Linked DNA regions of Tamandua tetradactyla. The protein of the gene in region 1 purifies or fractionates together with the protein of each later gene. This does not show direct contact. Links are inferred from orthologs where the notes say so. Each region holds a gene or a part of one and is shown on either strand. Other genes may lie near its edges.

Evidence for each region.
Region 2: the proteins of WDR48 (region 1) and RAD51AP1 purify together in Homo sapiens (affinity purification with mass spectrometry; 5 studies listed by BioGRID and IntAct, counting the BioPlex papers as one, with this or other methods). This does not show direct contact. The link is inferred for Tamandua tetradactyla from reciprocal best matches to the Homo sapiens genes WDR48 and RAD51AP1.
Region 3: the proteins of WDR48 (region 1) and PPP1R9B purify together in Homo sapiens (affinity purification with mass spectrometry; 3 studies listed by BioGRID and IntAct, with this or other methods). This does not show direct contact. The link is inferred for Tamandua tetradactyla from reciprocal best matches to the Homo sapiens genes WDR48 and PPP1R9B.

What each region holds. Positions count from the first base shown.
Region 1 is NC_135341.1:48,173,685-48,184,217, reverse strand, and holds the start of WDR48 (WD repeat-containing protein 48), read left to right. Parts: upstream 1-6,199; 5' UTR 6,200-6,277; coding exon 6,278-6,325; intron 6,326-10,533. UniProt on the Homo sapiens protein: Regulator of deubiquitinating complexes, which acts as a strong activator of USP1, USP12 and USP46. Enhances the USP1-mediated deubiquitination of FANCD2; USP1 being almost inactive by itself.
Region 2 is NC_135333.1:66,777,626-66,788,066, forward strand, and holds the start of RAD51AP1 (RAD51-associated protein 1), read left to right. Parts: upstream 1-6,468; 5' UTR 6,469-6,618; coding exon 6,619-6,635; intron 6,636-10,441. UniProt on the Homo sapiens protein: Structure-specific DNA-binding protein involved in DNA repair by promoting RAD51-mediated homologous recombination.
Region 3 is NC_135332.1:31,294,852-31,305,212, reverse strand, and holds the start of PPP1R9B (neurabin-2), read left to right. Parts: upstream 1-6,188; 5' UTR 6,189-6,833; coding exon 6,834-8,210; intron 8,211-10,361. UniProt on the Homo sapiens protein: Seems to act as a scaffold protein in multiple signaling pathways. Modulates excitatory synaptic transmission and dendritic spine morphology. Binds to actin filaments (F-actin) and shows cross-linking activity. Binds along the sides of the F-actin.

The DNA.
Region 1 (10,533 bases):
CATGGCAGGCGAGAATTATACCACTGAACTACCCTAGCAGCCTCTCTTTTCTCCTCTTTTAACCCTTAAAAAATTAGTCTCCTACTTATCTCTACCTTCCCTACTGAATATAGTGGAGCTCTCAATTCACTAATTTCCTATTTGGGTGGACATAATTTTTTTTACAGAAGAATGATAGAACCAGAACAATTTACAGTCGCTATTTTGATTCAATTTTGTTTTAAAATACGAGTTGTAGTTCTTCTGTTTATAACCCCTTCCTGCCCTTTAGACTAATCTGGCTAGCTCCTATCTCTTTGGGTCCTGGTTTCCACTCATGGTACCAGGGACTCTCCAGCTTTGGGCTGTCTTCACAGATATGCTACCCAAGGAAGGGGCTGGGGACCTAACCCTGACCCTGGAGGGATGGGCATTAAAACAGTTGTAGCAAGAAATATTTCACAAATGCTAAAATCACCCTGCTTAGAAACAATCATCTATAGATTTAAAGTTAACAAAAATCTTTTTTTCTAATGTAAAAATACCTGATTTTTTTTGGGGGGGGGGGAGGAAACAAATTGAATTAACCCAGGAAACATCTTCACATTAATCATTCTTTTCATAAACTTCAAATTTGTACTTAATGCCTTTTTCCTCCTGGACATCAGAAAGAATACCTGGGTATTCTGGAAGAAGTTTATATTTCTCTACATCAATTTCTGGAAAAAATGTGTCACTTTCAAATTCCTGCATGATCCTTGTCACAAACAGTCTAAGATGGCCTGGCTGATTCATGGCTTCTTGATAAACAGAACTGCCTCCCACTATCCAAACCATGTCTACTTTATTTGCTAATTCTGGTTGCTCAATAAGTTTTAAGGCATCATCCAAACTTTTGGAAAGAAAATGTGCTCCTTGAGGGGGTTCCTTGAGTTCTCTACTGAGAACTAAGTTAATTCTGTCCTTTAAAGGCCGATTCTTCTCAGGGATGGAGAACCAGGTCTTTCTACCCATAATCACCAAATTCTGTTTACCTTCTACTGAGGAGGTTGTGGTCATTCTCTGGAAATACTTGAACTCATTCCTGAGTGGAGGCCAGGGCAGGTCTCCATTCTTGCCGATGCCCATGTTCTGGGACACAGCGACGATGCAGTTCAGCGGACGAACCATGACGACAGCCGCAGCAGATACCGCCGAGCGCGCTCGCCTGACTCTAAATTCCCCTTTTTAAAAGCCATTCTTTTTCTGGTATTTTGCATTTCAGCAGCTAGCAAACTAGAACAGTGCATAAATATTTATGATTGTTAAGCTTTTTTTTTTTACATGGGCAGGCACTGGGAATTGAACTGGGGTCCTCTGGCATGGCAGTCAAGCATTCTTGCCGCTGAGCCACTGTGGCCTGCCCTTGTTAAGTTTTTTGTTGAATTGTTCCTTTTATTAATATATAGTGTCCTTCTTTGTCTCTTTTGTTTCACATTTGAAGTCTAATTCGTTGGATATTAGTATAGCTGCTCTTGGTCTTTTCTGATTGTTGTTTTCATGAAATATCTTTTCCCAACCTTTCACTTTCAACCTATGTTTATCCTTGGGTCTAAGACGTATCTCCTGTAGACAGCATATAGATGGGTCCCATTTTCTAATCCATTCTGCCAGTCTTTGTCTTTTGATTGGGGGAGTTTAATTCATTAACATTTAGTGTTATTACTTTATGGGCAGTACTTTCTTCTAACATTTTGCCTTTTGGATTTTATATATCATATCTAATTTCTCTTCTTTTCACCTTTAATGATAGTCTTCATTTCTATGCTCTTCACACCTCTTTCTCCTGTCTTCCTATCTGTCTCTAGTGCTCTTTTAAATATTTCTTGCAGAGCTAGTCTCTTGGTCACAAATTCTCTCAGCGAATTTTTTTGTCTGAAAATGTTTTAAGTTCTCCCTCATTTTTGAAGGACAGTTTTGCTGGATATAGAACTCTTGGTAGGCAGTTTTTCTCTTTTAGTATCTTAAATATATCATACCACTGTCTTCTCACCTCCATGGCTTCTGCTGAGAAATCTGCACATAGTCTTATTGGGCTTCCCTTGTATGTGATGGCTCTTTTCTCTTGCTGCTTTCAAGATTCTCTTTCTCTTTGACGTCTGACATTCTGATTACTAAGTGTCTTGGAGTATGTCTATTTGGATCTATTCTGTTTGTGGTATGCTGTAATTCTTGGATCTGTGATTTTAAGTCTTTCACAAGAGTTGGAAATTTTTTAGTGATAATTTTCTCCATTAGTTTTTCTCCTCCTTTTCCCTCCTCTTCTCCTTCTGGGACACCCACAACATGTATACTCATGCGCTTCATGTTGTCATTCAATTCCCTGAGTCTCTGCTCATATTTTTCCATTTTTTCCCCTATATTTTCTTTTGCTTATCAGATTTCAGATGTCACACCCCCCACTTCACTACTCTTATCTTCTGCCTCTTGAAATCTAACATTGTAGGTTTCCATTGTTTTTTTTTCATCTCTTCTACTGTGCCTTTCACTCCCATAAGTTCTGTGATTTGTTTTTTTAGACTTACCATTTCTTCTCTTTGTTCATTCCTTGCCTTCTTTATATTCTCCCTCAATTCATTGATTTCATTTTTGGTGAGGTTTTCTATGTCTGTTTGAACATTCTGAATCAATTTCTTCAACTCCTGCATCTTATTTGAATTGTTGGTTTGTTCTTTTGACTGGGCCATATCTTCAATTTTCTTAGTATAATCTTTTATTTTTTGCTGGTGTCTAGGCATTTAATTTCCTTAATTAGTTTATTCTGGAGATTGTTTTCACTTTTTTTTACCTAGGATTTTCCTGCTGGATGACTTTGTTGTCTATCTGTTCTTTGACATTCAGTTCAGATTATTCTAGACCTCTAGCTTAGGTTTTGTTTAACAGATCAGAGTTTTTCAGTTCTTGTTTTCTTGTTTCTTGTTCTGCTGTATGATGCCTTTTTTTTTCTCCTTAGGAAGGTCTACTTAGGTATTATAGATCCAGTCAGATTTCCTCAGACCAAACTGGCCTCCTTTCATGAGTCACCTGTGTCAGTTTTCCCTGAGGGTGAGACCCAGCAGGTTGAAAGACTTTCTATGAAGCCTCTGGACTCTGTGTTTTTCCAATCCTGCCTGGTATGTGGTTCTTGTCTGCCTGCGGGTCCCACCAGCATAAGGTGACATGGTACCTTTAACTTCAGCAGATTCTCCCTGCTGGGGCATGGTTGAGACAGAGGAGAAGTTGTAGGCTTGCTTTAATCACTTCAATTTTCCAGACCCTGGGGTCTGAATTCCTTGAGGGAGGGATTCCACCTGAGCTACGCCCCACCTCTCTCCTGGAGAAGGCACAGCCTACAGACAAACTCTTAAACAAGCTTAGTTCTGCCCATGCCTTTAGCAGTTGGAGCCTGAGAAGCCCTGCAGCTGTATCCAAAGAGCAGTCAAGCCATAGAAACACAGCCACAAAAAAAGAAAAGAAAAAGAAATCCTTTTCAGAGCAGGACCCCCATTCCTTGGATTTGCCAATCAAGAGCCTAAGTTGGTACATTGCTCTATGTATCTCCAGGTCCTATGTGCCCCCTCCTTTTCTTCAGGGCCCAAACCCTTTCAAGTATTTTGTGCTATCTGATCAAAAAAACTTTTTTTTTCCATTATCACAGACCCCCTCTGTGCCAAGGCAAAAATCAGCAACCTCAGGTTTTACTTGCAGTTCAGCTGAGCTGGGGGCCTATTTTTAGTAGTCAAAATGTGTCTCTTCTGAATCCTCCCTAAAAGCCTTCCAGTGATTAGATTAAACATCACACATTGCAGAAGGCACTCCCCTAACTGATTACAAATGCAATCAGCTGTGGATGTAGTCTACCTAATCATGATTTAAGTCTGTGAAACATTCCCATAGCAACAGACAGGCCAGAACTTGCCCAAACAGACAATCGGGCACCACCACCTGGCCAAGTTGACACATGAACCTGACCATGACAAGGGGGTAATTATCTGTTCAAAAGGAATATTATTTTATAAAACAAAGAAAATCTTGGTTGTACAAATGATAGAGGAAGTCATGAACTCCACAGGATACTATGTTATTCACTAATTTGCCATAGATTTCTAACACTGAGCACATCCTTTGTGTTCTATGCTGGTTTGAAGCTATGTACCCTAAAAAGCCAAGTTCTTTATCCTAGACCAATCTTATGGAAGCAGACCTATTGTTTAGGGTGGAAACTCTTAATTAGGCTGTTTCCATGGATATGTGACACACCCAATTGTGGGTGCAACCTTCTGATAAGATGGAAATGTGGGTCCACCCATTCAAAGTGGGTCTTGATTAGTATACTGGAGTCCTTTTGAAGAACAAACATTTTAGAGGAGCTTAGATGCAGACATTTAGAGATGCTTGGAGTGTGACAGAGAGAATGGACACATAGACATGGATGTTTGAAGATGCACAGTCCAGCAGATATCACCATGAGCCTTCCCAAAAGATGCTAAGTGAGAACCCACCATTTTGCCCTGGAGAAGCTAAGTGAAGATCCACAGATGCTTAGAGAGGAAGCCATTGGAATCAGAAGCTAGAAGCAAAGGAACTGGGAACAAGGATGAACAAGGACTCTCTTTGGCATCAAGGTATCCTTATCTGGACACCTCAGTCTGGACATTTTTAAGGCCTTAGACCTGTAAATTTGTAAATTCATAAATCCCCTTTATAAAACTAGATTTCACAAATTCAATATTTGTCAGGGTTATCACTGAGCAGGCAACATCAAAATTACAATCCATTTCTGCCATGTACCAGCATATTGTGTAGAACAAAATGCCTTGCACATCTTGGCTGCTCAACACATTTTTCTAAAAACTGCAGATCATGTTCCTCCCCTGCTTAAATCCCTCCAATAGCTTTCCATCAGTCTGAAAGACCCTACTGGTTGTGGCCTCTGCACACTCCTCCCTTTTTGCTCTCTATGCTCCGAGGCTGAACCCTAAGTTCCTGTATCTTCAGTATCTAATGTTATGCCTAGCATTTAATAAGTGCTTTAAAAAAATAATTTTAAAAACTTTGTTGAATATAAATAAATGAATGAATGAGTCTGTAATAAAATGCAGTCCAGATAATTCACCTATAAGTTATCACTGTCAGTTCTGCTTAAGAAGCATTCTGCCGTCAGTTTCTACTCCTTAATTCATATTTCCTTACTGATTAAAAAATTTTTTAAAAGCCATTTGTCAAGACGAGAGCTTTCCTAAGTATTATTTATATATTAACACTATTCAGTAGAAATATGTGAGCTGCATGTTATTTTAAATATTGTAGTAGTCACATTGGAAAAGTAAAAAGATTAATTTTAGTAATATATTTGAACTTAACATATTAAAAAACCCTTTTAACATGATGTCAACATTTTTTTACACTCTTTGTTCAGTTTATTTTTTATAATTACAGCACATCTCAATTTGAACTAGTCATATTTCAAGGACTCAATGGCCACGTGTAGCTAGTGGATACCATATGGGACTGCGTAGTTCTATAGGATTCACTTTCACAGCAAAGTGCCTGACCACTCTCTGCTCCTATAATTAGTGTCAGGAAGACCTCCTCAAGCAAAATTCTCATCCAGAAGGGTCTAAATGTCCCAGCTTGAGATGATTTAGACTAGATACCAGAGTGAGCCCTAACTCCTTCAGTTTGGAATTACGAAAGTTGTCTCTGGGAACAATATTAGCGGGTGTGTCCTCTTCGCCTTCCCGTATCAGTTTTTTATTTCCTTTACTTAAATAGATATTTTGCTTCTCTTGAAGATGAAGACCGCCTCCTTTGCAACGGCTTCTATATCTCCTCCCTCAAGGTCAGTTTTTTAGATACTTCACGACAAGCCGGTCGGTCCACTTGACTGCCTAGGAAAGTTTGCAGGGGGAGCGTCCAACCGCGCAAATCTAGTCTTATTCTTTCAGAGCTCTCCTAGACCTGCCGGGGTCTCTGGAGTAAGCAGCATCAGAGAGTGGCAAAAGCCAAGGTTTGGGGCCACAGAGAGCCTGATTCGAATTGCTCCCTCGGCTCAGAAAGGTGATTCTCCTTCCACCAACCGTATATTCGTACAACGAATTCGTTCTTAAACGCATCTAATACACTACAGGGCTACCAACTTCAGAAAAGAACCGCACCCACAGAAGACCCCACCTCCCTGCCCTCAGCCCTCCACCTGCCTTTGGAGAAAGGAAAGGGGCGGAACATCCGCCTGAACCGGTCAACTTTCGGAAGTGACGTAGGAGTGTCAACATGCAAGATGGCGGCCCATCACCGGCAGAACACGGCAGGGCGGAGGAAAGTGCAGGTATGGGAGCTCAGCTCCTCGACCTCCCAGACGTGGTTGGCAGTCCCGGGGTCACCTCCTGCGAGCATATACCATGGGCCACGGCTGATAAGTGTAGCGGTTTCGGGCGAGTGGAACGGGGCGCGGCCGGAGGCGAGGGGTGGGGCTGCGGCGCTAACGGCTTGAGGAAGGGGCGGGGGTCGACCAGCTTGGACCGTCTAGTCCAGTCCTGGAACCCTCGGGTTATGGGGTTCAATCCCTGCAATTACCGGTCGTCCGCTGTCCGGTAGGCCTGGGTCTGCGGAGTCGAGATGGGCTTGCTCCCCGCCCACCTGTCTCCCCTCCCCCTGCCTTTCCCCGAAGCACTTTGCCCTATCCAACTCGGATCAGAGGCCTCTGGACATTTCCTGGCCGGCAGGCGGCGGAGGAGTGAGAGGGCCTGAGCGGGGGCGTGGCGGAGCGCGGGTGGCCCTGCGGGCTTTCTGAGGAGTCCACACGTGGGAACCTCTATTCCCCCTCCCCCCACCACCCTCCGGCCTCCTCTCAAGTGGGAGCTTTCCACCGGTTGAAGAGGAAATGGCATGGAAATGTGCTGGAGTTACTGGGAAAATTACAATTTTACTTGTTTTGGAATTTAGTTATTTCTTCATTTTCACTGTGTATCCTGGAATCTTTTTTTTCTTTCTATTTCTGTAGTTCATTATCCAAGCATTAAGAGTTGTCTAACCTTTCTGTGCTTTATGCTCTCATGACTTTAGTTTTGTGTACATTTAAAAGTTGTGCTCTATTATTTTAAGCGACACAGAGATTAAAAGCCCTATTACAGGTATTTACCTGCAAGTATATTTTATGTAGTAGTGACGGCATAGTTCATTATTTCACTGAACGTTTATTGACCTTACACTTTGGGCCCCAACATGTGCAGAGGTTCTAGAGGGGACAGGAATAAGTAAAACACCCAGGCTTGCTTGATAAAAACACATTCTGCAGGTTGCAATCAGTGAGTGTTTAATTGATAGTCAAGATACGGGTTCTTTCAGTAAAATAAGTTCAGGAAAAGGTTGGAGGCCATAAAGTCTCTGGGGCAGTTCACATCTTTGTTTCATTTTGTTTTGCTTTTGTCTCACTGATCAGTACAGTGTCCTGAGCACTCATTAGATGTTTGTTGAGTTGAGTGGAACTAATAAGAATCTAAAGTAGTTTAACCTATTAGGTGATTTTTAAATGCATTAGTGATAATATTTAAGTAACATCAGAATCCAAACCAGGTGCTGAGGGTGTCTCCTCTTGAGTGGAATGTAACTCAAATTGTAACTTAACTAATTCTAACTGGACTGCCTGAAATAATTATATGTAACTGGCTCCCAGTGGGTCACAATAATTAAGTATTTAGGCAGCACTAATGGATACCTTTGAGGACTTTAGGAGCTGATGGTATTATTCTAGAGACTGAAATGGGGATAATCAGCTCTTGAAAGATAGTTGTAGGGCGAGCAATCGTGGCTCTGTGGCAGAATTCTCGCCTGCCATGCTGGAGACCCGGGTTCCATTCCAGGTACCTGCCCATGCAAAAAAATAGAAAGACAATTGTTAAAGTACACAAAGTACACAAGGAAGGTGTGAATTAGTTGAGTATGTGTGGAGAAACAGTTCGTTGTAATAAGCTGAATGTGAGCCAGCATATGTAGAATGAGGAAGGTGATAGCTCTACTCTTTACTGGTCAGAGTACAACACTAGAATTTCTGGCTCAAAATTTAACACCTTTTTTCTCAATATAGCAACCAGGTTGATGAAATGACTTGAGACTATTTTCTGTGAAAAATTAAGGTTAGTTTTCACTAGAGAATATTTAGGGAGCTTTGTTATCTGCATTCAGAACTTGTCGCCAATATAGGGAGAAAAGCCACAGAGATTGATTTTCTCTTGACATGAGACATAAATTTTGTTTGTTTATGGAAGTGTTTTATAAACTAGTATGTGTTCATTGGGAAAAAAATACAAATAATACAAAAAAGTGTAAATGAAAATTGTCCTCCACACTTCAAAGAAAGCTACTGTGAGCAATGTGGTAAATAATCCTAGACCAGCATTTCTCAACCTGCATGCTGTTGACATCTTGGGCTGATCATTCTTTGTTGTGGGTGGCTCTCCTGTGTGTTGTAGGATGTTAATCATCATCCTTGACCTTGACCTACCAGATGCTAGTAGCAGTTCTCAGTTGTGACAACGCAAAATTTCTCTAAACATTTAAGGGGTAAGTGGGGGTGTACAAATTGCCCCTAGTTGAGAACCACTGAATATATGTACCTGATTTCTGTTCTTTGTTTTATTATAAGTGGAGCCATAGTATACATTGTTCTGTGACTTGCTATTTATCAATATTTTAAATGTACAGTCCATCTCCCATCAGTTCCTTTTCTAAAACTTTGCTCTACAAAAATACGTATATACCCATACGTCATCATCTTTTTGGGAAGGGGGGTTTATTGTAGGAATGTTGTCATTGTGAAAAACTGAACAAATCTAAATGTCCATCAGTAGGGAATTGGCAGACAAGTTATTGTATGTCCATATGGTGGATTAATTCGCAGTGTTAACAAGATAAGCTAGATTTGTGTGCAAGGAAAAGGAAAGATATCCAGAAGTCTAAAAAGCACATCAATTTAGCATGGCTCCATTTCTCCAAAGGAAATAATGTATTTTAAAAGCCTGGAAGAATATTAATGGTGATTATCTCTGGCAGTATTGGATTATGTGATTATGGGTAGGGCAGAATATAAGATACTTTTTAACTTTAAAATATATGCACCTTTATATTTTTGAACTTTTTACAGCATATTATATGCTTTTTATAAATAAACAATCTTTCCTGCTTGAAAAAAGTCTGAGTACTTAGAAGTATAAATGTATTTTGTCTCTTGGCTGTCAGTGTCTTGGACCTGGAAGCAGTAGCCCTAAGTTCCTTTGCCAACTTGTAAGCCGAAAAGAATCATTGAAACTTATAATAATTGCTAAATAATTAGACTACCAGGGAGAGGCATGCAAACATACTGCTTGTTCGCTACAAACATAATGACATATATATAAAGTATTAGTAATTGTCCTACCATCTAAATCTAAAGGGACTGAAAGTGAATATAAGGGTGAGGATAGATTAGTGACTGTCAGAAATATGATCAGTCAATTAAATATGCAAATTCAGCTATATGGTGCAGCGTCTTTCCTGGTAACATGAAAGCAAGCCTTTTTACTCTCTGGCAGTCCTTTATGGTTCTCTTAGTTTTATGATGAGTGTGTTGGTTGTTCTCTTTGTTCCATTACTCATTCTCCCATGGCCTTTTCTCTCACCTGGTTCAGAATTGTTGGAGAGAAGTTGAATAACAGTAACCAGTATACACAGGTTTAGAAACAACAACTATGCTCTAATACTTAGTGATGGTTCAAGAATATAACTCCTTGACCTTCTGTAAGGGTTATTTTAGTGGGAAATGATCCAAAATCTAACTCAATCAGGCCCACGTAATAAAGACATATATTACTTCATGTAAAGGAAAATTCAATAAGTAATGCTAGTTTCGTGCAAAGCTTGATCCGGCAGGCTCACTGCAATTCTCTACTCTAAGAAGTGACGTTAAGTCAGCTTTACCATTGGGGTGCATACAAGTTTTCTCTCCCAACTCCAGGCCTCTCTTCTATTGATGGCATGGTGGCTGTACCTATTCCAGACCTCATGTCCTCCCACCACAGCACCCAGGGTAATAGAGTCCCTTAAGTAGCACCTGCACAATTTCTCCTAGGATTTGTTCACCAAAAGATAATATCGGGAACAGAAGTGGGGAATGGAGAGGCAACTAACAAATGTCTACTACTACCAAACTCCTCTTCCTGCCAAATACCAAGTCATGCCAGACCTATTCAGAGCACATTATAGTCCTTACTTCCGATTCTGATTCCCAACTTGGGGATAGTTTTTAATCTTCAAGGCTTTTTAAAGTAATTAAAATAATGCCAAATCCTGCCTTCTCAATGAGAGAGCCTTACAAATTAGCCTTATGTCGAAGATGAGTTACTTTTTATATAGGATGGCTAATAAAAAATTCAGTGTTAATGCTACTTTTTCTCTAGAGGGGTTCAGCAAACTTTTTCTCCAGCGGTCCAGGGGCTAAATGTTTTAGCATACTTTTTCTCTAGAAGTCCAGATGGTAAATGTTTTAGCAAATTTTTTCTC
Region 2 (10,441 bases), on another chromosome or scaffold:
CTCTGCCTGTCCTCCCCCCCACCCCACCCCACCCCACCCCCACCTGTTGACATTTAGTTTTGGCATAATGCCTTTGATACATTCAGTGGAAGCATATTACAATGTTACTGTTGACTAAAAACCTTAGCTTGCATTGACTGTACTTGTTCCTATATATCATATATTTTTAACATCCTGCAATATTGACATTCATTTGTTCTCCCTCATGCAAATTTTTCTTTTTGTTTAAACAATCTACTTTTAAACAATCAGTGGGTTAAAGAAGAAATTGCTAGAGAAATCAGTAAATATTTGGAGATGAATGATTGTGAGATTACAACATATCAGAACTCATGGGATGCAGCAAAGGCAGTGCTGAAAGGGAAATTTATTGCCCTGAATGCCTATATTTAAAAAGAAAGAGCAAAAATCGAGGATTTAACAGCTCAACAACAAAAAACAATAGAAAGAATCAACAAAACCAAAAATTGGTTCTTTGTGAAATCAATAAAATTGGTAGGCCACTAGCTAGAATGACAAAAAGAGAGAGAGAGAGAGAGAGAGAGAGGATACAAATAAACAAAATCAGAAATGAGATAGGCGTTATTACTTTATTACTATGGATCCTGAAGAATAAAAAAATCAGAAGAGAATACTATGAACAACTATTTGCCAACAAACTAGACAACTTAAATGAAATGGACAAATTCCTAAAAACACATGACCTACCTACACTGACTTGAGAAGAAATAGCAGTTCTCAACAAACCAATTATAAGTAAAGAGATTCAGCCAGTTACCAAAAATCTTCCCAAAAAGAAAAGCCCAGGACTAGGATGGCTTCACAGGGGAATTTTATCAAACATTCCAAAATAACTAACACTAATTCTGCTCAAATTCTTAAAAAAAAATGAGGAAAAAAGAATGTTAAATAAAGCTAACAACACTCCAATACCAAAACCAGATAAAGATGCTACAAGAAAAGAAAACTACAGACCAGCCTTCCTAATGAACACAGCTTCCAAAATTCTCAACAAAATACTAGCAAATCAAATCCGATGACACATTAAAAGAATTATACATCATAACTAAGTAGGGTTTACACCAGGAACACAAAGGCTGTTCAATACAAGAAAGTCAATCAACGTAATATATCACCTTAACAAAGTGAAAGGGAAAAAGCACATGATCATTATCGATTGATGCTGAAAAAAGCATTCAACAACATTCAGCATCCTGGCCTGAAAAAACACTTCAAAAGTTAGGAATCGAAGGAAACTTACTCAATATCATAAAGGGCCTATATGAAAAGCCCATAGCCAGCATCATACTTAACGGTGAGAGACTGAAAACATTTAAGATTGGAAATGAGACAAGGATACCCATTGTTACCACTATTATTCAACACTGTACTAGAAATCCTAGCTAAAGCAATTAGACAGGAGAAAGAAATAAAATGCATTCAAAGAGGAAAGGAAGAAGCAAAAATTTTTATTTGCAGATGACATGATCCTATACTTAGAGAACCCTGAGAAATTTATGAGAAAGCTATCTGAGCTAATAAACAAATTCAGAAAAGTGGTGGAATATAAGATTAATGTATAAAAATCAGTAAAATTCCAAACACAAGTAATGACCTATCTGAGGAAACAATTAAGGAAAAAATTCCATTGAAAATAGCTATCTAAAGAATCAGGTATAAAGGAATACGTCCAACCAGGGATGTCAAGACTTGTACATAGAGAACTACAAAACATTGCTAAAAGAAATTAAAAATGACCTAAATAGATAGAAAGGCATTGCATTCTCATGGATAGGAAGGTTGACTGTTGTTAAGATGTCAATTCTACACAAAATGAGCTACAGATTCAATGCAAAATCAATCAAAATCCCAATAACCTATTTTGAAGATTTGGAAAAGCTAGTTCTCAAATTAATTGTAAGGTAAAGAGACCCTGAATAGCTAAAGATATCCTTAAAAAAGAAGAGCGAAGTAGTAGGCTTTAAAGATTACTATAAAACCACAGTGGTCAAAACAGCATGATGCTAGCACAAAGATAGTATTGACCAATGGAACTGAATTGAGAGTACAGGGACAGACCACCAAAATATGGACAACTGATCTTCGATAAGGTTCCCAAATCCACTGAACTGGGACAGAACATGGGTACTGAAAAACAGATAGAAGTGACAGTAACTAATTTGTGGCATTATAAGTAACTTTGCTATATTGAAGGTGAATATGATTAAAAGGGAATGTATAGTGCCCATATATCCCACTGAGTAAATCTACAATTATAAGTAAGTTCTCGCATGAACTATTTCAAAGATTTGACATTGAACAAAGAGTTAATAGTAAAGAGGTACAGAGGGAAAACTAAAAATGCATGATATGGTCAATAGTTAACAAGAAGACATCAACAGTACCACAGCACTACCAGGGACAACTAATTGCAGGGGAGGTACAATTGATAAGGGGTAGTTTTGATTTCGATATTTGGTGACGCTGTGTGTCAGTTCTTTGTCGCTGAAGATAAATGAAACTTGTCCAAAATTGAGAATGCTGTTGATTGTACAACCCAGGGAGGATACCATAAGACATAGTTTGTTTATTTTGGGCATTATCTATGACGCCCATTATGGAAGGGAACTAAAGGATACAATGACTGAGAAGAATGGCAAACTGTGATACATGTATAGGAAAGAATATGGTGTGGCTACAAAAAAGGACACCAACAGGCATGCAACGAACTGAATAAACCTTGGAGATAATGTGGTACAAAATAAGCCAGAAACAAAAGAACAAATATGCTAAGGTCTCTTTCAGAAAATACTTATAAGAAAAATGGAGCCTAGTTTGTAAGCCCTTATAGCAGCCACACTTAGTTTGAAGTTGTAAGTATATTCCTAGATTCTGAGACACTGAGCTATATGTGTATCAGACAGTATTTCCCTGGAACTCTAAGTAACTGTGATACGTAAGACACAAAAATGTGAGTGCTGAGCCCTGAAAGTTAGCACAGCTATGTACTATAACAATTAAAGTAACCAAAAAAGAGATCAGGTCTCAATTAGAGATAAAAACAAAGCCAATCTGGCTGGGGCTAAGGTAAATCAGAATACAGAGTAAAAGATGATAGTTTTTGTACTCTAGACTTTCACTTACTGTATAAGACCAAAGGCAGAGAGGTTTATTATGTCTAGAATCTAAATTTTGTGTAGCACACAATCGAAATCAACCTGTTTGTACCGCTCATTTAAACAAGCCAAATTCCTGGAGTCCTGGACGGAAACAAGGCCTATAATTCTGTATAGCTTAATGTAATATCAGGATACATCTCAGGACTATGGTTGGCTGATAATTAAAAAGTATTGGTTGAGAGTGTGAAGGAAAAAAAACCAAAACATGGAACTATTAAAAACTTTCCCAGCTGGGAAACTCCAGGTACCCTCTCAAACACTGGGGACTCCCAAGAAAACAGGCCAAGCCCTTGATTTTGAGGATTGTCCTTGTGAAATTCATTTCTGTAGCAGAGAAGCTAAGAATATTTATAATGAGGCCTAAGAGTTGCTTCCAGGAAACCTCTTTGGTTGCTCAGATGTGGCCTCTCTCTCTCTTTTTCTAGGCCCAACTCTGTAAGGAGGATCATCACCCTTCCCAATATGTGGGAGGTGATATTCAGGGGTGTGAAAATCTCCCTGACAATGTGGGGTACGACTCCAAGGAATGAGATTGGCCCTGGCACCATGAATAGACAACTGCCTTCCTGACCAAACGGAGGAAAAGAAATGTAATAAAATAAGGTATCAGTGGCTAAGAGAGATCAAAAAGAGTCAAGAGGCTATTCTGGAGGCTACTCTTATGCAAGCTTCAGTTAGATGGTGCTAGTTGCCATGGTTTGCTAAACCCCAATCAAAGTCACTCCTGTTAACTCTTAAGAACACCTAGGCTCGAACTCCAACTCTATAAAAGTTCCATGCACTGTTTGTTTTCTTGGAACCTATAATTTCAAGAGGGTTGCTAGGCCAGTAAGTCCTGAAACCCAGAGGGACCAACCTCTCCAAGAGTATCAATTAATTACATTCTGTGCTGGTTTGAAAGGAAGTATGCCCCCTAAAAAACCATGTTTTAATCAAAATCCCATTTCATAAAAGCAGAATAATCCCTATGCAATACTGTATGTTTGAAACTGTAATCAGATCATCTCCCTGGATGATGAGATTTAGTCAAGAGTGGTTGTTTAACTGGATTAGGTGACGACATGTCAAGACCATTTGGGTAGGTCTTGATTGGTTTACTGGAGTCCTGTAAAAGAGGAAACATTTTGGAGAATGGGAGATTCAGAGAGAGCAGAACGACATAGCCACAAGAAGCAGAGTCCACCAGCCAGCGACCTTTGAAGACGAAGAAGGAAAATGCCTCCTGGGGAGCTTCATGAAACAAGAAGCCAAGAGAAGCTAGCAGATGACGCCATGCTCACCATGTGCCCTTCCAGATGAGAGAGGAACCCTGACTGTGTTCACCATGTGCCTTCTCACTTGAGAAAGAAACCCTGAACTTCATCGGCCTTCTTGAACCAAGGTATCTTTCCCTGGATGCCTTTGACTGGACATTTCTATTGACTTGTTTTAATTGGACATTTTCTAGGACTTAGAACTGTAAACTAGCGACTACTAAATTCCCCTTTTAAAAAGTCATTCTGATTCTGGTATGTTGCATTCCAGCAGCTAGCAAATTAGAACACATCCCCTTATCCTTTAGTGTTGAACCCCTTAACATGAAAAAGTCAGAATGGGCATTGCCTAAAGATCCCTATAGATGGGAGAAGGATCAAAGGAGAAGGGGGTATAACACAGGAAACAGGATTTAACAAACAAGCATGATTGCTGAATCAGTATATTAATATTCCTTCTAGTTTCCAGTGTTTTGCAGCTGTTGGGGTGGAAGGGCAGCAGGGAGAGGAACTGAAATGGCGGAATGGTGGCCCATAATAGGCTCTGAAATCTCTTCCACAGCTGCATGTTACAGAAGGTGTTCTGTCACTGAAGGTATTAGGGAGTTCTTTGAAAATTATTGCTTTCTTTTCTTTGTAGGTATGCTATATTTCACGATTAAAAAACTTTTTTTTTAAAGAGACATTCACACTCACTTTATATTAAACAGCCTAACAGGTTTCCTTACCCCCAGCAAACCAACCATTCCCAACTCTCCAGAATTTAGACTGCCTTCATTAAAACTCCTGAGTGTTTACCACTGCCTCCTCCCCAAACTTCCCAGCATGGCATACAAGGGTGTCCATGATTTGATCCGCAGTTACATCCCCAGCTTCATCTGTACCATGTCCTCACTAGGCAGTGAGAATCCTAAGAACAAGAGTTGTGTCTTAACAAAAGTTGAACCACTGCATACAGAGTTGACTTTAGGCAAATATTTGTTGAAGGCAGTCAATGCAGTGATAAGAGAACGAATCTTTCATTTATCAGTAAAATGGCCCGAACTCTGACTCTGCCATTTACTTGCTGCCAGAGCAACTGTCATTCGGGGATAATGCATTTAACTTGCAGGACTGTCATAAGGATTGATAAAATAATATGAAGTACCTGGTAAACATGAAATGATCAATATAGAAACTAGTAATAATATAATTAGCTATTGGGGTGGGGTGGGGGAGCCTATAGGCCAATAGCTGTGTGCACATGACCAAGGCAGAAGCAGTAAAGGAATACTGTGGTAGAAAATTGAAAGTTATAAAAATATGGTGTTATGGTATAATTTTGTTCAAACGCAACACTTTCGGTAAGCAAAAACCATTAGCTCTAGTTTCGATCGGTTGGACATTAAATTTTATTGCAGTCCAACAAAGTGATACCTTTCCGCTTTTTTTTTTTTTACTATCTAAAGCCTCGCCTCAGTTTTAGCAGGGATGATAACAAGATAGGCTTCCCGTAAAAAAAAAAAATGTTGTGGGAGGAAGGCCGCACCTAGTTTATACAGTTAATTTAGTAGAGGTTCCGAGGGTAAAATTCGTCTGCGAAAAGGAAGGCGGGCTGCGGGGCCGAGAAACTCCAGCCAACGGAGCCCATTTAGGGGTTTTCAGACTGAAGGGCCTCGTTCTTTAGTCTCACCTTGTCTAGTCCCGAAGTCTTCAGCGATCGGCACACTCCGAGTGGTCCACGAGCCTCGGCACTAGGGATATCAGCTGTTTTACCTACTCGTTGTTACATCCAGCAGTTCCGTCGGCAGATTCCCCCACACCACCTCCTCGTCCCTGGTACTGGATGGAAAACCCATAGATCTAAGCACCACTTATTTCTTCTTGCTTCAATTAGGAAGGTGCATTTCTACTGTTATTGCGTATTTCAGAGACGGCGCAAAAGTCACTGTCATCACGAAAGTGCAAGGGCAAAGCGCAAACTCCGCTGGGGTTGACCGGATACGGAAGTGCAGTTGTCTTGGGAAGGGCCTGAACAAATGAGATTTTCTCAGGGCGCATGCGCTTTCGCAAAACTAGGGAAATGATTGGAGGACTGACTGTCAGTGGGCGGAGAGCTTCGTTCTTCGGTTTTAGGCGGGAGTTGAAACCGCCAGTGCTTCCTAGGAGAACTTGAGACCTGCAGATTTGCATCCTTGGAACGGACCATGGTGCGGCCTGTGCGGTAGGTAGTTAATGACATTCGACGGAGTTGGGGAGGAAGGGAAGGAAGATGCAGTGGGCAACTTAGCTTACACAGGAGTGAAGGGAGAGCTCGGTAGGATGGAGGGTGGGGATGGTGGGAGTTATATGGTTAGGGGAAAAGGCCTTATCAGGAAGAAACTCTCCAGGTTCCCGTCAGAGCCACGCATTCCTCAGAAATATCCTAGCATCATAGTCTTCTTCTCTCTCACTCTTTGCCGACCCCGCAAAAGACCTTGTTATGTTAAAATTTGAACAATACCTACTTAAGTGTTATTTCAGTTGTTCATCACTAGTTTTCTTTAACGTAGAAAGGTTAATTATCCCTATTTCATCGATTAAAAACTCCCAGGCAGAAAGGCAAAGATAAGTGAGTTGCAGGAGAATATTCAAATCTATGTCATCTGACTCCATATCCTCAGTGGTTTTCATTATACTATTTGCACCTATTCCCTACTTAATCACATTTGAGTGCCATGGAGGCTTAACGTCAACCATTCATTCAGAAAAGCTATTGAACATATTAACTTCTGTCCTATAGGAGGTGCTGGGGGGTTGCATTCCAGTGGGGGGTGGGTGAATAGGGAGCAGAAAATAAACATCACAGTGTGATAGTGGAAAAGATGGAAGCCCTATTCTAAATAGAATAGTTAAGCCAAGGCTCTCTGAGGAGATAACCCTTGAGTTGAGATATGAATAATGAGACAGAGCTAGACAGGTGAAAATCTGGGACAATCCAGGTAGAGGGAACAGCAACTATTAAGGCTTTAAGCGTGAGCATGTTCAAGGAACAAAATGAAGGCCACTAACACTGTAGAATAGTGAGCAGTGGGGAGAGTTGTAACGGATGAGGTCAGAGAAATAGGCAGTGTCCAGACCAGGTGGGGCCTTGCAGACCTTAGAAAGGATTTTATTTCTACAGAGGGATGCCAATGAAAGATTTTAAATAGGGGAGAAAAATCTAATTTTGGTTTTATAAAGGTCACTGGCTGCCAGTGGAGAATGAATGGGTGGATGGCATGACTAGAATGGGAGCAGAGCAGCCTGTTGGAAGGCTATGATGTCATTTTGGTGGCTTAGATTAGGGGGTGTTAAAAGTAGACATGGGATGGAATAGATGAATTTGGGATATATTTTGGAGGTACTGCTGATGACTTGCTGAAGTGAATTTCTTGATAAGGACAAAGAATCAAAGATGACTCCACAAGAATTTTGGCCTGAGCTGCTATGTAAATTTTTTTTTTTTTTAATATGGGCAGGCTCTGTAGATTTTTTTATTAATTGAAATGGAGGCGACTAGGAAATGGAACATGCTGAGGAGGTGTGGGGGACCAAGAGTTCTGTTTCAAACACATGTTTGAAATGTGTTTTAAGCATGCAAGTAAAGAAGATATAATCCTTTTATTTGAAAAGCATTTTTAAAAGTTCTACAGACCACTAAGGGTCCTTGAGATTCTTTCAGAGGGTCTGTGGGATCAAAACTATTTTTCATAATAATACAAATTCAAATAAAATATCTTATTTTCAAATAAGATATTTGCTTTTTCACTGTTTTGTCATTTGCACTGCAATGATGGGTAAAACTTCTGGTGCCTTAGCATGAATCAAGTCAGTGACACCAAACTTTACTAGTAGTCATTGCATTCTTTCCTGCCACACGGAGTGAAAAAAAAGAAAATGCCGGTTTCACTTAAAGATGTGCTTCCTTTGGAGGAATGGTGAGAAAGGGGGTAAATTCAACCTCCCCAAGTGGAGAATTCTTGATATTCTCACAAGCAGTGGGAACAACCAAAACAATAGGCTGAGCCCCCAATCTGGGGTTTGTTCATATGAAACTTAACCCCACAAAGGATAGGCTAAGCCTACATAAAATTAGGCCTAAGAGTCACCTCCAAGAGAACCTCTTTTGTTGCTCATATGTGGCCTCTCTCTCTCTCGGCCAACATAACAAGCAAACTCACTGCCCTCCTCCTCTCTATGTGGGACATTACTCCCAGGAGTGTGGATCTTCCTGGCAACATGGGACAGAAATCTTAGAATGAGCTGGGACTCAACATCAGAATTGAGAAAACCTTCTCGACCAAAAGGGGGAAGAGCGAAATGAGACAAAATAAAGCGTCAGTGGCTGAGAGATTCCAAACAGAGTCGAGGAGGTTATCCTGGAGGTTATTCTTATGCATTAAATAGATATCACCTTTTTAGTTAAGGTATAATGGAGAGGCTGGAGGGAACTGCCTGAGAATGTAGAGGTATGTTCTGATAGCCATGTTTCTTGAAAATGAGTGCATAATGATATAGCTTTTGCAATGTGATTGTATGATCGTGAAAACGATCTGATGCTTCTTTTATCTACCTTATTGACAGACGAGTAAAGCATATGGATTAAAAATAAATAAATAATAAGGGGAACAAATGTTAAAATAAATTTAGTAGATTGAAATGCTACTGATCAATGAAAGGGAGGGGTAAGGGGTATGGTATGTATGAATTTTTTTCCTGTTTTCTTTTTATTTCTTTTTCTGAATTGATGCAAATGTTTTAATTTGATGCAAATGTTTTAAGAAATGATCATGATGATGAATATACAACTATGTGATGATGTTGTGAGTTATTGATTATATATCAAGAATGGAATGAACATATGGTAAGAATGGTTGTGTTTTTATGTGATTATATTTAATAAATATATATATGAAAAAAAGAATATTCCTGATGAAACAGTAAGAATTATATTTATTGTAGCTCAACCCTTGGATGTATTTTTTTTAAATGAAGACTTCTGATTTTATTTTATCGTTGTTCAATGTTAATACTTCTCAAGGGGTTTCCATGTTTTATTCAGCTCTCAAATCTGAACTCTGAAGAGTAGGAGAGTAACAACAAGAATACACTTCTTTTTAATATTCTCTGTGAGGAAATGGAAAGTATGCATAAAGCACTTCTACATACCAAAGTACAATAGTTATCTCTAGGAAAAGCACTTGTGTGAATGTGTAAATTACAAGCTGAAATAGCTGCCTTGTTATACCATTTTTACTTGAAAGAACAACTAACTGACAAGCTAGGAGCTATTCACACTTGGAATATGGTGGACATTCTGGAAAAGGAACTTATTGAACCTGTCACTTCAAAGAAAATAACTGACAGCATTTGTTTCCAGTGATAAAATTTGTGCTGACTAGCAAAAATTAGAAGTTTTTTGGAAAACTTGTGTGTGGCACTGTAAACTTGATGGCTTCCCAATATTCAAAGACTTTTGGGATGAATTTGATGGTGATATTAACAAATGTGATTTTTGATATTGTGTAGTAAAGTATATAGATATTTGGAAGACCTGCATAACTCAGTGAACCAGTATTTTCCAGATTGCCAACAAATGATGTAACAAAATCATGCATCAGTAAAATATCCATTTGAAGTGCATGATAAACCAAGGGATATTAATGTATCAGAATAAGAAGAGTTCATCGAAACCCTTTCATATTCCACATTGCAACTGTTAAGAAGCTAGACTTGTCTATTTCCTTGGTTTAATTGTGTTCCTCTTGGTAAATTGGGGATATTAAGTTCACTAGGTTTTTTCAAATAAATCACAAGACTTCAATTCAAAACAAACCAATGCATTTCTCAGCACCCTAGCAACTTTTCTTACTCTAAGTCTGTGAGAAAAACTTGTTGCTTCTTGTACTGGTTTAAAATTATGTATGTACCCTAGAAAAGCCATATTTTAATCCTAATCCCATTTTGTAAAGGCAGCTGTTTCTTCTAACCCCTATTCAGCATTGTATG
Region 3 (10,361 bases), on another chromosome or scaffold:
AACAAAGGTAAAAGACAAGCCCAGTCTGGAAGGCAATGTTGAGGGCATATAAAACAGATAAAAGGTTAGTATCCAAAATATATAAAGATCTCCTAGAAATCAATAAGAAAACAACACAGCTTTTGAGTGCTGCCCCAAGTGGCATTCTGCCCCTTTTCCCTCTCTAATAGAACCCCAATTTTATTCAGGGTCTGTGTTTTAGGGAGCACTGGGCCTTCCTCAGCCCCATTAAGTGAACTGTGATTAGTCTAAATATAGCATGATAAGAAAAAAAATGTTCTTAGTCTTAACCCTATTCCTGTGGGTGTGAACCATTATAAACAAGACCTTTTGAAGATGTTATTTTTAGTTAAGGTGTGGCCGACAGAATCAGAATGAGTCTTAATCCTAGGACTGGAGGCCTTGTAAAGAGAGAGACACAAGGAGGAACCAGAAGCCAGCAGAACCCAGAAGAGAAAGGAGAGAGCCATGCCATGTGATGAGGAAGCCATGAATGCCAAGGATTGCCAGCCCTCCAAAATGCTCCTGACCCTGGAAAGAAGCAATCCTTCCAGTCTCCAAAACCTTGAGACAATAAATTCCCATTGTTAAAGCAAACCCATTGAAAACAACCCCTCTCTTCTGTCTCCAGACACTGTTGTCTACATGATATGCCTGGAACTGAGGCAGCCATCTTGGGACCATGAGGGGACAAGTGTATGAGAAAACCAGCATGAAGAGGAAGCTATTGCAGAGAGATTAGAACCTGGCCCTTGATGTCACAGCTCACCTTTTGAATTTAGCCTACACTGACATGTCCTGTTATATGAGATAAAATTTCCCTTTGGCTTAAGCCACTTCTAGTTAGGCTTTCTGTAACTTGCACCAAAAGCTGCAATAGGATAGCAAAGGATATGGACAAAAGCGATTCGTGACGGAGGAAACCCAGATGGCCAACAAGCCTGATAGGATGCTTGACTTCATAGGCAGGGATGCAGATTTAGATGAGATAGCTATTTCATACCCACCCGACTGGCAAAAATAAAAAGTCTGACAAGGGCAAGTATTGGCAAGGATGTGGTCAAACAGGACGTCTTGTACAAATGCTGGTGCTGAGAACATAAACTCGTTCAGCCGCTGAGGAGCACAGTTTGGCAGTACTAGTCAAGCTGAAAACTTGCCTGCTCTACAGCCCCAGCTTTCTGCTTCTAGGATGTTTATTGCAGCCCTTCTTACAGCAGTGGGAAGAAAAGAGAGAGAGAGTGAGATAAAGCCGAGGTGTCTGTCAGTAGAGAGACTGACTGGTAAATAAATTGCGACTTGTTCATATGGTAAAATACTAAACAGAAGCTAAAATGAACAGACCAAAGCCATGTAGATTACTCATGCGACTCCATTGTGAAAAGCACATGGAGTGAGAAACAGACAAAATGATACTCATGATATAATGGTCATCATGTAAATTTTTTAAATACAGAAACCGTCGATATGCTGCTTTACAAGTACTTAAATGTGTAGGAAAAATACACAATTATGGATTAGAAAGGATGCATTCCAAATTGGTGAGAGTGAGGAGGGAGGGCAACGGGACTGGGGAGAAAGAGAAAGGGGACATCAGCTCAAATGCTAATGTTCTATTTCTTCTATATGAAAAAACCTGAAGCAAAAAGACAAAATGCCGGCATTTGTAAATAGAGTTTGTTATATGAGTCTCCGAACTTATTTTTTCAAAAATATTTTAATAAAAAAGTTAAAAAGTATATACATATATATATATTTTTTCAGGTTCTCTAAAATAGAACTTTCCTGAAGGGGTAGGATTAACCTCAGTCCCACCCCCCACCAAGGCCACCCTCAAGTGCAAGGGGCTGAGAGGAGGAAACCTGAGAGCTGCCGTTGCTGAAGCTGTGCCTGTGCCAGGTGCCTCGCCAGCCTAGAGGAGTGTAGTGGAACCGGGCAGGCTGGGCACTGGCAGGAACAGGATGCTCTTTCCTGGGGCCCAGGGCAGGTGAAGCAGAAGCTGGTGGAAGAAGGTGGCTTTCAAAGTTAGTGCCCTCCTCAGGTGCCCAGTGCACAAGATCCAAAGGGCGGAGCAAACATGGAAACCATCAAATCACAGATATGAGTATTCAGAGCAGTTCAGGTCAGCAGTAGAAAGAGTTCTTTGAATCTTCTGATCACAAGATATATTGCTCAGTCTTTCTGGATATGTTCTTTTCTTTGACCTCCCTGCATATCTCTGGAGCTCCCACAGGTACTGCTGTCTGTGTTGCAAAGTACATTTTTACAGGCCCTCTAAGCCCTGCTAAATATAGGCTTTCTTTTAAAGCAACTGATGATTTGGAGAAATCATCTCTGTCCCACCCCTTTCCCCACCCCCAACACACACATGCACAGCCCAAAGGCACACAACACACATATGTATGACACACTCACACTCCAACTCTTCCTTCTTACTCCCAACCCTCCAAGATGTATCCCAGCTTTTCAAGAAGCACTGGAGTGACTTTAGAAAGGCAGCAGGGCAAGCTTCCAGCTAGGGAGCCGGGGGGGGGGGGGGGGGGGGGGGGGTATGTTAGATCAATTTTTTACATAATTGCCTCTGCAGGGATAAAGAAGAACTTGAGACACCAAGAGGTAGGAACGAAAAACCCTTTGGGAGGTAGAGATCCATCTTTCCAGGGGTGATCCCAAAAGATCTGGTGAAGTCACAGGTAGCGGATCCTTCTATTTCAGGATCTCTTATAATGGACCTTGGAAGGAAGCAAGAGGCCCAGAATGCTGTGAAGACACACTTAAAAGTGCAAACACTGATGTTCATTCTCTGCCACACTTGCCCAGTCATGTGCACGCATGCACACACAACACTTATTCATGTTCAGATATGGGTGCAGTAACAGCTGATACTCTAAGCTCCTACTGTCTGCTTGGACCTGGTCTAAGTGCTTTATGCATTTTGAACTCACTTAATCCTCATTTCTCTGAGGTTGATAATTATTTCCATTTTACAGAAAAAGAAATTAGTGTAAGTCCTTTAGCTGGGAAGCAGCAGGTAGGCATTCTGACAAACACGGTCTGGCTTCAGAGCTCATGTTCTGTTCTGCTTCAAGCATGCAACTGTGAAGGGGACATTCAAGGGCCACTAAAGGCCCCTCCCACACTGACATCTGAGTTCTTCCGCATGTAAGCGTGTACATATGTGCATGCCTTTCCGGCATCGTTGTATCTCCCACTCTTGACAGAGGACCCATGGAGAGCAGAGCTTAGGGGGAGACCACTGGCTCCACTGCCCAGGCTATAGGGCAGGGCCTAGGACTCGGCTCAGTTGACTGAGGCAGTAGGAATGCCACTTTTGGAGGCTAAGTCTCTTGGGCCTAGAGTTGGGAAGAGAAGCCAACCTGGGCACCAAGCCCGGGCATGAGCCCAAGGTGCTGAGGGCTTGAGACTTATCACAGATCAGGTCTCTCCCAGCTTTTGCAGTCACACCTGGTGTTTAAAACTTGCAGGCTTCGAGGAACAACCCTAAAAGGGCATCTTCCCAGAGGGCCCTAACTGGACCTAGGGGTGTGGGAAAATGGGGAGGGACTTTACTAGGAGAAGGGTTGAAGGAATTATCTCTGCCTACGGAGACCTTAGGCCTTTTGACCAAGACTGGCAAAGATGCCTCCTTCCCCTCCCACCCTATCTTTTGTTGTTCCCATCACTTCCATCTCTCCGGGCCTCGGTTTGTTCCTCTTGGAGGGGTCACACAGCTAGTGCATGTGGCTCCTGGGTCCATTTTGGGAACTACTCTAGCACAGGTCCCAAGGCAAAGGTAGGAAAGGAACTTCCATCCAAAAATGACCACAGGCAATTAGGCCTCCTCCAAAAGGATACTGGAAAGAGGAAAGGTGGTTAAATTATCCTGAGGAAGGAGGTGAGCATTATAGCTCAAGGAAATTAAAATTAAGTTAAAACCCTTCGGTTTTTATCATAATCCTCCCAAATGCAGCCACCACCCCTTGCCCCCCCCCCCTCCCCAGTCAGGAAGGGAGGGCCTGGAGGAGAAGACACCCTTTCCCCACCCATCACCAGCCAGCTTGGTGCCTGGCTCCTGGGAAGTAGTTGCAGTAAAGCACTTACTGCTCTGTAAAAGCTTCTTTAGGAATTCTGGCTGGGGGTGTCATTGAGTTGACCAGGAGCCCATGAAATGATAATCCCACTCATTAGCCTCAGTCACTCAAGCTCTGGGCCAGCTCCTCTCTCTTGCATCCCAAAGCACTTAAAAGGGGTTTTACCCTTGGAAGCCTCAGGACAACGGAGACCAGGGCATCCCAATTGTTCTAGTTCATGCCAAGCTGCTACAAAAGATGTTGGGGGGACCCCAGGTCTTTGGGCCTGACAGCTGGATCTCAGCTCTTCCTCCCACCCTCACAGGCTAAGGGCTTTCCCACCTGGCCAAAGGCGTGGGCACAGACCCCTTGGGCTAGGACCAGTTAAGATGACTCATCACAAAGGGTGTGGGAGATTCTGGGCAAAGCACCCAGGGGCTTGTGCCCTCCTCCAACCCACACAAGAGCTTCTGGGGACACTCTGCCCAACCCTTCAACCTCCAACTGGGTGAGATTTCTCTGCCCACCCATGGGGGGGTTGGGGGACCCTTGGGAAGGGGGGTGGCTTCCAGTCCCATCCTTGAGTTTGGAAACCAGAGTCACAGAGCTTGTTCCTGAAAGGGAGGGAGGGCAACCTGGGGATGGTGTCCTGTCTTTACGCTATCCTATTCCAAAGTGCAAAACTGGGGAGGGGCAGTTTCCCAGGCAACCAGGCAAAAAAGAGACAGATGGTATCGGAAAGCCAGAGGTCTGGGTTCATTTCCGGCCCTCTGGCTCAGAACCCAAATCATCCCTCCCCCTTAGCCCAGCCTCAGGATCTAGTCCCGTGGTTCCTGGCCCCCCTCATCCCACTATGCTTGGTTCCCAGGCAGTTACCCCGCCCCATCCCTACCCAGTACAGCGCTCCTTTGCTCATGCTAACAGGTTAATACTTTAAAAAAAACCACACACACGCCCCTGCAGTGCTGAGGTGGGAGGATTCCCTTCGCCAGCCATTCCAGGCCTGTGGGAGTCGGGAAGAGGAGGAAGAGGATGGAGGGGAAGAGGGCGGGGGAGGAGGCAGAGGCCTCAGGAAGGCCTGAGATGCAGGAAGCAGCTGGGAGGGGGGAAGGCTTTGTGCCTCGGTTGTTCTCTGGGTCCTAGGGTCCACTCTGTTCATTCTAATCTGGTATCTGTGGAGCAAAGGGACCCTGTTCGCATCAAACATAGTCTTGCAGGTGGACTGTCACCCCTAGGACCAGGGCAGATGGGGAGGGTAGAGGGAGACTCCGGGCCCCCGGTTGTGTGGGTGAGGAACGGGGGGACATCAGAATAGCTTTCTGAGTTGACAGGTCATGGGCTATGTGGGTCACAGACATACACACACTGGCCAGGAGACACACCTCCCCTAGCTAGATCAGAGACCCCAGGTAGAATTCTCGGTGGGGAAATCGGGGCCTCTAGAATTGCTCCTCCAACCGCCCCCCCATTCCTATTTGAGGGGCAAGTGTGCCCCACTTAAGAGCATGAAGACAGGAATTCTGCCCCTTCTAGTCCAGCCTGGGCTGCAGAACAGGCAGGTGACAGGCACACCTCTTTGGATTTCCAAAGGGCAAAGGTGCCCTTCAGGTAACGGAGGCCAACTCATGTCTCAGTTTCCCTATCCACCTCCATCCCCAGGCCAGCAACTCTGGGCCAAGATTTCACATCTGAACAGAAGAGTCCCTTGTGAAAATTGTGAAAATGCAGATTCCCGGGCCCACCCTCTGAGATTTGAGAGACAGAGTTTGGGGGAGGGCCCAGAAATATGCTCCCCCTCAAACATCCAGTGATTTTGATACTTATGACTTTGAACCACTCTAGGGAGTTCTAAGGACCTTGAAGGAAATGATTCTTCCCTACTTGTCCCCTATTTCACTTTGGGGTGGAGGGCGCCTCACCCCTGTGGCTAGCTTAACCCCCCTCGCCCCAAGATTAAGTAGGGGGTGTGTGGGTTGAAACAGCCTCAGCTAGAGGCTGGGACGGAAGTGTGGATGAGAATCGGCCAGAGCCTGGGGGCAGCGGAAGGCGAAGGACGGGCAGGGGAGGGGATTCTTTCGGCCCGAGGGGAAGGGGAGGGCTCACAGACTCTGGTCCCGGAAATCCTATCCCTTTAGGACCCAGAGGTGCCAGTCCCCCAGCGGCGGCGGTGAGAAGGGTAACCGCTCGGTCTCCGGCAGCCGCCGCTCGGGCAGAACGAGAGAAAGACCGAGGCTCGGGGCGCGGGGGGGAGGGAGGGAGGGAGGGAGGCGCGGCGGAGGAGCGGCCCGGGCCGGCGGAGCAAGCCATGGGCGCCGGGGTGCCCGGTCCCCCGGGAGCGGAGATCCCCGGCCGGGGTGGGGGGCGCCGGGGCTGCCAGCCCCGCTGACACCGCCTCGGACGATGTGAGCCGGCACCGCCTCGGCTGCTTCGCGGGCAGGGCGCGCGGTTCCCCCGGCCCCGGCCGCTGCTTGTCTATTTTGGGTGGGGGCGAGCGTACCAGGCCGCTTGGGCTTTTTAAGAGGGTCTGACTGTCTCGGCAGCTTGATTGGGGGAGGCGACCCACACAGGGCGCGCGGAGATATTTTTTCCTTTTTTTTAAAGCACGGCTAACTGTTTTTGGCAGCTTGGTTTCAGGGGGAACGTAAAAAAGACCTCTCGGGGTTTCTTTTTGGGGAGGAGGGGGACGGTGGTCCCGACTTGGCCGGCAGCCTGTTGGAGGGGGGGAGCGGGGAGCGGGGGCATGCGAACCCGGCTCCCCCCACCATGATGAAGACAGAGCCGCGGGGGCCCGGGGGTCCCCTCCGGAGCGCCTCCCCGCACCGCAGCGCCTACGAGGCGGGCATCCAGGCACTGAAGCCTCCGGACGCGCCCGGGCCCGACGAGGCTCCCAAGGCGGCCCACCACAAGAAATATGGCTCCAACGTCCACCGCATCAAAAGTATGTTCCTGCAGATGGGCACCACGGCGGGGCCGCCGGGCGAGGCGGGCGGCGGCGCCGGCCCAGCTGAGGCCCCGCGGGCGCCCGAGCGCGGCGTGCGCCTGTCGCTGCCGCGGGCCAGCAGCCTGAACGAGAACGTGGACCACAGCGCCCTGCTCAAGCTGGGCACCAGCGTGTCGGAGCGCGTGAGCCGCTTCGACTCCAAGCCCGCGCCCTCTGCGCAGCCGGCGCCGCCGCCGCACCCGCCGTCCCGGCTGCAGGAGACGCGGAAGCTGTTCGAACGGAGCGTCCCGGCGGCCACCGGCGGCGACAAGGAGGCCGCAGCGCGGCGGCTGCTGAGGCAGGAGCGCGCCGGCCTGCAGGACCGGAAGCTGGACGTCGTAGTGCGCTTCAACGGCAGCACCGAGGCGTTGGACAAGCTGGACGCCGAGGCCGTGTCGCCGACGGTCAGCCAGCTGAGCGCCGTCTTCGAGAAGGCCGACTTGAGGACCGGCCTCCACCGTGGGCCCGGGCCCCCCAGGGGCTCGACCGCCGGCCCCCCCCAAGTCAACTCGAAGCTGGTCAGTAAGCGGTCCCGGGTGTTCCAGCCCCCGCCGCCCCCGCCCGCCCCGTCGGGGGATGCCCAGGCCGAGAAGGAGCGCGGCCCGGGAGGGCAACAGCCTCAGCAGCACCGAGTGGCCCCTACCCGGCCGCCCCCCAAGCCCCGGGAGGTGCGCAAGATTAAGCCTGTGGAGGTGGAGGAGAGTGGGGAGTCGGAGGCCGAGGCGGCGCCCGGGGAAGTGATCCAGGCTGAAGTGACGGTCCACGCGGCCCTGGAGAATGGCAGCACCGTGGCAACCACAGCCAGCCCTGCGCCTGAGGAGCAGAAGGCCCAAGCGGCCTCCGAGGAGGAGGAGGCGGCGGTGTTGGCGGCGCCAGAGAAGGGGGTGGGCAGTGACCGGGCCTTGGACGTGGCCTCCGAGGAGGTGGATGAGTCCAAGAAGGAGGACTTCTCGGAGGCGGACTTGGTGGACGTGAGCGCCTACAGTGGGCTCGGGGAGGACTCTGGGGGCAGTGCCCTGGAGGAGGACGACGAAGAGGACGAGGAGGATGGGGAGCCTCCCTATGAACCCGAGTCGGGGTGCGTGGAGATCCCGGGACTCTCGGAGGAAGAAGACCCGGCCCCGAGCCGCAAGATCCATTTCAGCACGGCCCCCATCCAAGTGAGTGAGCCCCCACTCCCCGCCCCCGCGCCGCCCCTGCCACGTGCGCGTCGTCGCCCCCGCCCCGCCAGCTGGCCTTGGCAGGCTGAGTCAGCCCCTGCCACCCAGCCCCCTTCTCAGAAGTTACCACCCTGAGGGGGGCGTACCAACTGTCTGTCAGGGAGGGACGGTTTTCAGACCTGGGGCTGGGGTGGCCTGCCCGGACCTGCCCTCAGGTTCCTCCCCTGCAGGCCCTCCCAGCCCTCCGGTCGCACCCGTCCTGCCCTATCGGGTCTGGGGGACACCTGCATTCCCTCCCTCCCCCAGCCAAGCTTTCCTCCAAAGGCTGGCACTGCCAGTGCCCAAGGTTTGAGCGGTAGAAAAGTGTGTGTGCGCCTGCGCGCGCGCCCTTGTCCTCGAGGGAGCCCTCCCTCACATTTGTCCTAACCTATTCTGGGGTGGGTGCCCTCCCTACGTTCCCTCCCCTTGACTCAGGATAGGGTGAGGAAGGCTGAACAGAGGGAGGGGGAGCCAGGAACTTCCCAAAACGAAGGTGCAGGGAACTGCAGCCCTTCCTCCATCCTGCCTGGAGCCCCCACTCCAACTTTGCAGAAGTGAAAGAGGGAAGCAGGTCTGTGAGGGCTGTGAGCTTGGGCCATGTGACTTAGGAGGTGGGGTAGGGACTAGCCCTGGGGCTCTGTCCCTGGGGTCAGTGCTGGCCTGCTTCCAAAGGCTCCTTTTCCCACAGGGAGGGGGCACTTTGAGTGACCCTTAAGTGGGCTAGATCTTCTCCAGGGCATGGGAGGTGGGGGGTGGGGAGCAGCTGGGAAATCCTCCAGGGTGCCTGGCAGCAGGCACCTTTGGTCATGGCTGCTAAATAGGACAGATTCCCATGGCTTTAGCCCAGGCAGGCCCTGCATGTTCATGCCACATTCCCAGGGTGCCGTGAAAGAGGGGTCGGAACTGCCCCTTTCTGAGCCCCTGTTTGTCCCTTCCCCATCCCCACTCCCTCTATCGGTAACTGGTTTGTGAGCTGCACCTGAGCTTTGAGAGCCCCAGAACAGTGCTAAGGGGAAGGGGAGAATTCAGAACCCCAGGTCACCTCCATCCCCCTCTACCCTCCACTCTGGATGGCATATTTTGCCTTAATAGTGCTTTCTGCCACCCCAGGCTCAGCTGTGCAGGGTCCCAGGTCTACTTCCTGGGGTATCTAGGGCCGTGGACTTTTCTCAGCCTGGACCCTGCACAGCTTGCCCACTGTGCCCAGCACTCACCCCCTAATCAGTTTGCTTGCCGTTTCCATAACTACGCCCCGACACCACCCAGGCTACCCAAGTTTCCTTTCACCTACTGCAGAGGAGCCCAACCTCTGTCCCTCCTCACTCCCTGTCCCAGCTGGAGGCCTGAATGGTTATAAGTGGGTGGCCACCCCTTTCCCAGTACAGCTCCTTCCCCTGGGCTGGGGCCTTCGGTGTCCTTTCTCCTCCCCTCTCCCTTTCTCTGATCTGGAGGTGAAGAGACCCTGGAGGGGTGAGAAACACAGGGTCAGGGTTTCCTGGGTGCTGAAGAAGGGAGTGGGAATCACTGAGGGAGGCAGAATGCCCCCCTCTCCATTTCTCCAAGCAGCCTGTTCCCCTCAGAGATGGAGTTTGCTCTTTATGTACTAGGCCCTGGGCCTCTGTCTATATTTGACATTACCCTGATTTTTTGGTGAAAAAATAGCACATGATTTGGAGCAGTGCTTCCCTGCTCCCCAGTGACTGATGTTCTCTGGTGTGAGAGCCTGGTGGGGAGGGGGTTGGTGTGTGGCTTGGTGTGTCTGACTTTTGACCTTGCTGGGGATTTTGTCCTCCCTTTACTTAGTGTAGTGAGTCCAGGGTTTTAAGCCCCAAAGATGCCCCAGTTGTTACCTTTACGGAGAGGGAGGCTTCTGCTGAGGACAGCTCAAATAAAGTTTTTACCTGGGAAAGTGGGATTGGGCCTGGGGTGCTCTGATGGGCTAGGCGTATGGTGGTGGGCAACCTGTGAGGAGGGATGGGGGTGGCCTGTGGCCTCCTAGCTGAGGCCTGAGCTTCTTGCAGAGTGCAGGATTTGAAAGGTGAGCAGGATTGACTGGCTGAGGAAAGACAGGAGGGCAAAGCCCAGGGCAGGCTGAGGGGGTGATTTGGAGGT